Linked DNA regions of Tribolium castaneum. The protein of the gene in region 1 interacts with the protein of each later gene in a pairwise test. Links are inferred from orthologs where the notes say so. Each region holds a gene or a part of one and is shown on either strand. Other genes may lie near its edges.

Region 1 (4,325 bases):
CCGAGATGAAATTTCCTCCTAGTTTCCACCCACGCCATTCCAAGGGTATAAAAGTTGCAATGTGGGGGTTGCGAGTCAGTTATTCAGTTGCATTTAGCTAGAATAGACGTTCGCAATGTTCGATAGAAAGTTAGTTTTTGCTCTCGTTTTCGTCGTTTTTGCCACTTTAGCGGTCGAAGGCAGGTATCTACCAACGAGGTCCAACGGGGACAGGATCGAAAAACTCCGCGAGTTGCTCAAAGACGTAAGTAAAAAAAATTGAGATTTTTCAACACAAATTGAATAGTTGTTCGAAAATGAGGTCGAGAAAGAAGAGTACCAGGCCGACGCGCCCCCGCGGTGGCACCCCGAAAGCAAGCTCTTCTACAAACGCGAGGCCCCCGCACACTAGACCACCCCCACAACGACAAGGCAACGGACACGGAACACGATTTTTAAACATTCAATGTCATAGGTAGACACATTTTAAACTTTATTTTATTACCGACAAGAACAATTATTTTTGTAAATAAGTGGCCCCCTGATTGACAATAACGCCACGACCCTTGATAAGCAATTATGTAGTTTTAGGGAATTGTGTCAATTACTTGACAATATTATCATTTTAGAATTGATTGAGAGACCGTCCCGAGGGAGGTTGTCGGTAATAAAGCTCTTTATTGCAATTTGTGAAGCAATATTTTGACGAAACTTTTAATAAGTGTGTCATTTGTAATATCCTAAGGTGTCTTATTAAAGTGTTACATGGAATATGTGCATGGGAATAAAAATATATGAACATCCAATCGCTTTTTATTATTTACAAACTAATAGTTAAGTTATTGCGTTGTCTGCTCCTCCCACGGCCGGGGCCCCCTGACCTGCTCCCAATTATCGATATCAATCTTCTTGATCTTCTCGTACTCCGACTCGAGCGTGACTTCGCCCGGTTTCTTCATTTCAATCCCCAATTTCTTCATTTCTTCGGGCTTAACACTGGAGACTCGTGAAAACTGATACCTCAACTGTGCAAATTCACGGAGCCCGAACGAACCCCCCAAAACCACAAGAAGAAACGGCAAACCATATTTCACCGAACGTTTATTCAAAAACTCGTTTATTTTCGCCCCCACGTTATGCAACATTTTTTGAGGTTATGTCACCACATTTGGTAAAAAACAGTTTTGGGGGTAACAACCGGTCGGTGAACCTCCCCCAGGGATAAAATCACCAGTTTTGATCAATTATACGACTCGTCAAGGGCTAGGAACGCGTTTATTGTGTGTTATTTTGACGAGCCGCCACTGTCATCTGTCATTAACTTGTCAGTTGTCAACGTGGCTACGAAAAGTAAAAAACTGGGGCGAACGCTCGAGCGCCCCTTTAAAACATCCTGTGATATGAAAGAACTGAAATTCGGGCGATTCTGTGCGGAACTATTGCCCCAATTCGAACAAACTGGTCGGGTGGCTGTGTCGCCCCCTGATTTGATTTAGTCAGTTTTTTACGCAAAATGGCCTTAAAGAAGGTTAAAGGGAACATTGAACGCATGTTCGACAAGAATTTGACCGATTTGGTCCGCGGGATCCGCAATAATAAGGAGAATGAGGTTTGTGCAAAAAACGAGGTTATGTTAGTTGCCCCCTTGATTGTAGGCGAAGTACATCTCGCAATGCATGGAGGATATCAAGCAGGAGCTGCGACAGGATAATCTCTCAGTTAAGAGTAACGCAATCGCGAAATTGACTTATGTGAGTGATTTGGTAAATGATTTCGATTGATTGTGGTTTTTAGTTGCAAATGCTGGGGTACGATATTTCGTGGGCCGGCTTTAACATAATCGAAGTGATGAGTTCGAGTAAATTTACGCTGAAACGGATCGGTTATCTCGCGGCTAGTCAATCGTTTCATTGTGATTCAGAGGTGGGGTAATTAAGTCCGATTAAAACGTTGATTAATTGGGATTTTAGTTGCTCATGTTGACCACTAATATGATTAGGAAGGAGTTAAACTCGCAAAATCAGTACGAATCGGGGCTGGCCTTGACGTCCCTCAGCTGTTACATCAGCACTGACTTGGCCAGAGACCTTTCAAACGATATTTTAACTCTTGTAACTACCCAAGTCATTTAATCAAACACAACTAATTGTTGCTTTTAGTTAAGTTCCACTAAACCCTACATTCGGAAAAAAGCCGTTCTAATGATGTATAAAGTGTTCCTCAAATATCCCGAAGCCCTACGTCCTGCCTTTCCTAAACTAAAAGAAAAGTTAGAGGACCCCGATCCGGGGGTTCAGTCGGCTGCAGTCAATGTTGTGTGTGAACTGGCACGAAAAAACCCCAAAAATTATCTAAGTCTGGCCCCAGTTTTTTTCAAATTAATGACCACAAGCACCAATAATTGGATGCTAATTAAAATAATCAAACTGGTAAGTAGTTCGTATTTTTTTGACTACGGACAACTAAATACTAGGATGCGGGACGATGTACGAATAAAATGTCCCCGTTTTTGGGAGTTCCATCACCGACGGCAGATGGCGCAATATTAAAAAATATATTGTGTAGCACAGACTTGATCGGAATAATTTTTTAAATTTGCGATTATAAATTAATAATTAAATTTTTTAATAAAATAAAATAAATTAAATTGAGTGAATGGCAACTAAATGTAACTGAAAAATATTTGACTGACGTATTTTTATTGTTATTTTTATGCCGTAAAGCTAACTGTTCTTTAGTAAAAGAATATCAAACTAATTCATTACTCATTACAAATAATTAAAAAAAATATATATTCAGCGACTCAGTATTAAATAATTATTTTTGATTATAAAGAATAACTATTATAGACAAATTTTGAAAAAAATTACAAGTATACAGAAAAAATAAAGTATTTAATAGTAGTAAAAGCTTATTATACTGCTCTTCAAAAAATAACTTTTTTTAAATCGTTGATTTTACTTAAAACTATAACTGTAAAGTTAATAATTGGGACAATAATTTATAACTAATGGTATAATTTGTTCCAAACCTCTATAAATCATTTAAAAAATTGACTATAGCATTTTTTATTTTTTTTCTTTTTCATATTTTTCATTAAAGTTTTAACGTATGCTATTTTAAAGTATGCTATCATTGCATCTGACGATCTTTTGACTATTTCCTATAATATCGTTACTTATCTATATGTGTAATATTTCTTGAAGAAACCTTTCATGTCTATCGATACTGTGCTAAGATTTTTTACCAAAAATCTAAGGGAGAATAAAAAAAATTGAAAAGACATGTTATATTTTTCAGCCCCTTATAGGAATAAAAAATTCTCTGAGGATTCCCTGGTAGTTTTCAATCTTTTTTTTATTTTATATGCACACACATAAAAAACAAAAAAAAAATTTTGAGAAAAGAAAAAAATATTTGAAAAAAGTCTATATTATAGGAAAAAACTGAAAGTAGTGCGTTTAAATCTTTTTATACTAATTTTATTTAAAGGAGAATTGCGTTACAGACCAGTCTTATCTTCGATTACTAATTATTTTTTGAAATATAGAAGATATAGTACTTTTACCCCTTTACTCCCTATTTCTAATACGCTCTTATAAATAAGGTTGAAGATATAAAAAAGGTAAGGAACTAAGTTGTAGAGAATTAAATATTCTTTAAAAAAAATTGTAGTCTAAGATTAGAAGAATTTGAAAGATTTGGAAAATGCTTTTTCTCATATTTATCTTGAAAATTTTAGACAGTAGTAATGAATAAATAATAAAAGTAATTAATATATTTTTGGGTACAAAAAAAGTCGAATTATTTTGTATCTCGTTTCGCCTCCTAGCATATAGTTCTCCGTATTTTTTTTAAATTAACTGGATTAGGTCCTTTGATAAAGAAAACAACGCTTTTTATTTTAGTTCGGTGCTTTAACGCCTCTTGAACCTAGGCTAGGTCAAAAGTTGATTGAGCCTTTGACTAATCTCATACACAGGTAGGGTTGCGCCCTTTGTTTTATCATAATTGTTTTAATTATTGTAGCACTTCGGCAATGAGTCTCTTATATGAGTGTATAAATACGGTTATAGCAGTTTTGATAACAATATCGTCAGGAATGCCCAATCACGCCGCTAGCATACAACTCTGTGTCCAAAAACTGCGGATTTTGATTGAAGATTCCGACCAGAATTGTAAGTTTAGCGTGGGGCGAGTCATGTGTTTTTTTTTTCTTAAATTATTTTAACAATAATCACGTCACTCGCTCCATTAATTCGTAATCAGCGCCTTAACAACCGACTTCCAGTGAAATATTTGGGCCTTTTGGCGATGTCAAAAATCCTCAAAACGCACCCAAAAAG
Region 2 (3,147 bases), on another chromosome or scaffold:
TTAGACACTTCTGTCTTTTTATTATTTGCTCCTCCACTGTCCCCAACACCATCTAATTGTCCCTCCTCAAACGACAGACGTTTTTCCGTAATGTGGAACATGGAGTTACTTATCTTAACAAACTTGCCGAACTTTTCCTCTCCTTGGACTTTTTTCGAAATTGTTGCTTCCGTCGCCACAAACTGTCTCTTATTATAGAACGCACACTTAGTCATATTTGCGTAATCACTTTTCAGCGACAAAAATTTCATGGTTGTTAAGGTGTGCCAAAGTGTGTTTTCAAATTTCTTGAAACGGTCTTCATTGACTTGTATCACTTTTTTGGATTCTTCAATCTCAATCTGTGTTTTCTTCCAGATGGTTTCCAATTTTCGGTTTTCGTTCAAAACTGGCTCGGATCTCGCCCGTTTTAGTAACTTGGCGGAGTTTGTTTTCACTTCCAGGTCAATAATACGGCCCCTTAAACGCTCATTCTGTTTATTTTGTACGCTTGGTTTTGCAATTTTCTCAGCTAGTTGTTTCTTCATTCTTCTGATGTCGTTGTTCTTGTGCGACATGTCCAAAGCAGCTTCGATTCCCTCAGGTTTCGGCACTTTTAAGTTAATTTCAGCGCTGGTTTTGCTTTCGCCGTGCCTGAATCTACAACGCGTGATCTCTTCTTCGATTATTTTATTGATGAGGCTTGTGAATTGTTGCGAAGTGGCTGCGTTTGACAAAATATCAGTGCATGCGACAAGTTTCCTCTTGATTTTGTCCAGTTTTTCGCTGTTTGAGTTGATGAGGGCATCCTTCTCGAGGATGTTCACCAGTTTGATGATATTCTTGAAGAGAAACTCTTGCGATTTGAGGATTGCGTGCAAGTTGTCAATGATGTGTTCCTGACTTTTCACTTTAAACTCGTTAATTTTGGTGTGTTCACGGCGCAACCATTCAGGGACTGTGTTCAAATTTTGGTTTTTCGGCAACTCTTCCAATTTTTTATCAACGGTTTGCGGCACCAAAGCAACAGTATGTGTATGTTTCTCATTTTCTTGCTTTACCCGGTTTATGTGTTCGTACAAGTAGCGGAGATCGTTCGTCACAACGTCTCCCTCACAGGTGTATTTGCTCGAGTTGTTGATAAACTCCAACATGTTTTCAAACGGGATTATTTGGGTCGCGTTGCTGTATTCGGTCGAAATTTTTCGCTTGAAGTGCATACATTTTTTGATATATTCGTGGAGTGTCTCGGCCGCTGCTGTGGTTAAAACCTTCCCACGCAGTAACAATAAATTTAACAGGAATTCCATAATTTGCGCCATGAAATTGAAATGATTGGAATTATTTGCTCGGCCACATTTTTTGAATTCTTTGACAACGCGCCACTCGATTTTCAAAAACCACAACATCTAACAACGCTTGTAACACGTTTTATTTGATTCAAATAAATCTCACTCAAACTAAACCAAGGTGTTACTTTCGGTATCGTGGCCGAATTTTACTATGAAATTATTTTTTTGGAGAAATTTTGAAAATGCACGGACGCCACTGGTGTGGTATTTAGAACATCGACTGAGTCATCGCTGACGCATGCGCACTTTGAAACCAAACGTCAGTGTGACACATGACGTTTTTGTTATTGTTCTCAATTTTTTATAATAATACCAATTAATTCAAAGATATTTGTGTTCGTTGTGCGCGTTTTTATCATTGTTACGTGTGTGGCATTTTTGGCGTTTATGTGAAGGTGTCAACGTAAATCGGAAAAAATAAAACGTAATTACGTCCCAACTGTTTAGGATCAATTAACATTGTTTATTCATTATAGATGCCAATTCTTTATAGTGTAATATCTCGGGGAAGCACCGTTCTAGTTCGATATGCCTCTTGCGCCGGGAATTTCGCTGAAGTTACTGAACAGATCATCGGAAAAATACCACCACATGATGATAAGTTGACGTACTCGCACGGGAACTATTTGTTCCACTATGTTTGTGAAAACCAAGTTATTTACATGTGTATTACTGACGATGTAACGTGGAATGTCGCGTAAATACTTGGTTGTATTGTCATCATTGTTTCAGGAGTTTGAGAGGTCACGGGCGTTTTTATTTCTCAATGAAATTAAAAGGCGTTTCAGGTCCCAATATGGGGACTCTATCCAGACTGCGATTGCATATGCGATGAATTCTGAATTTTCCAGGGTTCTAGCCAACGAAATGAAACATTATTCCGAATCCCATGATGTGGATACAATTTCAAGAGTTCATGGAGAGTTGGATGAACTTAAAAATATTATGGTCAAGAATATAGGTGAGTGTGAATAAATATTTTGTATGTGATATTTATTACTGCGTTCATTGATAAGATAATGTGGCGATGAGGGGAGAAAGGCTGGAACTGTTAGTAAATAAAGCTGAAAATTTGAATAGTGGGGTGAGTATTTAATAAAAAGTTGTTTTTTTTTCTGAAACTTTTTTTCAGTCTGTGACGTTCAGGAAGACAAGTCGCAATCTGGCACGTTCCATGTTTTGGAAAAACGTTAAGCTTTATGTTATCATTGGTGTGATTATTACTGTGATTGTTTATTTTATTGTTTGCATGGCTTGCGGAGGGCTTCTCTGGCAGGGCTGTATTGCTAAGAAATAAAAATTTTAAGATATTTTACTTTATTCATTACTTAAACACTGTACCGTTTTATCTTTATGTAAATAAGATTCCGCAAAATTAGTGATAAAAACATTCTTTTATAATTATGTAGTTTATCTTCGTTAATTTATAATTTTGTAATTGTTAAGGTATCGTTACTTGAATAAAGCAGACAAAATATACTCTTGTTTTATTTTCCCTCTAGTCTTTTATCTAATCACGTATTAAAAAGTCTCAAAAAATTCAAGAATTAAACACAAAAAAATCAAGAATAATTGTTTTAGTTGGTAACAAATTTAAAGAATTTTCTTATTCAGCAACTGGATACGGAGAAGCTATCATTAGTCGAACCACTTAAAAAAAAGATTTAGATTTGCCAACTCGAGCATTCTTTTTGTAGATATGTCTCATATTAGGTCTTACTAAAAAAAAAATTTAGAGATTCTGCAAAAAAAGAAAAGGATTCTGTGTTAAAGAAAATCCCAACGACAAATTTAAAGCCAAAAAAAACAATAATTC

Evidence for each region.
Region 2: the proteins of g (region 1) and Vamp7 interact in a two-hybrid assay, tested with the Homo sapiens proteins (2 studies listed by BioGRID and IntAct). The link is inferred for Tribolium castaneum from reciprocal best matches to the Homo sapiens genes AP3D1 and VAMP7.

The regions. Positions count from the first base shown.
Region 1 is NC_087401.1:15,046,777-15,051,101, forward strand, and holds the start of g (AP-3 complex subunit delta), read left to right. Parts: upstream 1-1,448; 5' UTR 1,449-1,492; coding exon 1,493-1,588; intron 1,589-1,634; coding exon 1,635-1,730; intron 1,731-1,773; coding exon 1,774-1,902; intron 1,903-1,949; coding exon 1,950-2,090; intron 2,091-2,138; coding exon 2,139-2,408; intron 2,409-3,887; coding exon 3,888-3,961; intron 3,962-4,008; coding exon 4,009-4,157; intron 4,158-4,270; coding exon 4,271-4,325. Other genes in the region: uncharacterized protein Proc, read left to right, coding at 116-244, 287-391; l(3)neo43 (cytochrome c oxidase assembly protein COX16 homolog, mitochondrial), read right to left, coding at 819-1,124. UniProt on the Homo sapiens protein: Part of the AP-3 complex, an adaptor-related complex which is not clathrin-associated. The complex is associated with the Golgi region as well as more peripheral structures.
Region 2 is NC_087402.1:8,581,180-8,584,326, forward strand, and holds Vamp7 (vesicle-associated membrane protein 7), read left to right. Parts: upstream 1-1,563; 5' UTR 1,564-1,755; intron 1,756-1,807; coding exon 1,808-2,011; intron 2,012-2,063; coding exon 2,064-2,292; intron 2,293-2,347; coding exon 2,348-2,415; intron 2,416-2,463; coding exon 2,464-2,628; 3' UTR 2,629-2,641; downstream 2,642-3,147. Other genes in the region: uncharacterized protein LOC103312779, read right to left, coding at 1-1,289. UniProt on the Homo sapiens protein: Involved in the targeting and/or fusion of transport vesicles to their target membrane during transport of proteins from the early endosome to the lysosome. Required for heterotypic fusion of late endosomes with lysosomes and homotypic lysosomal fusion.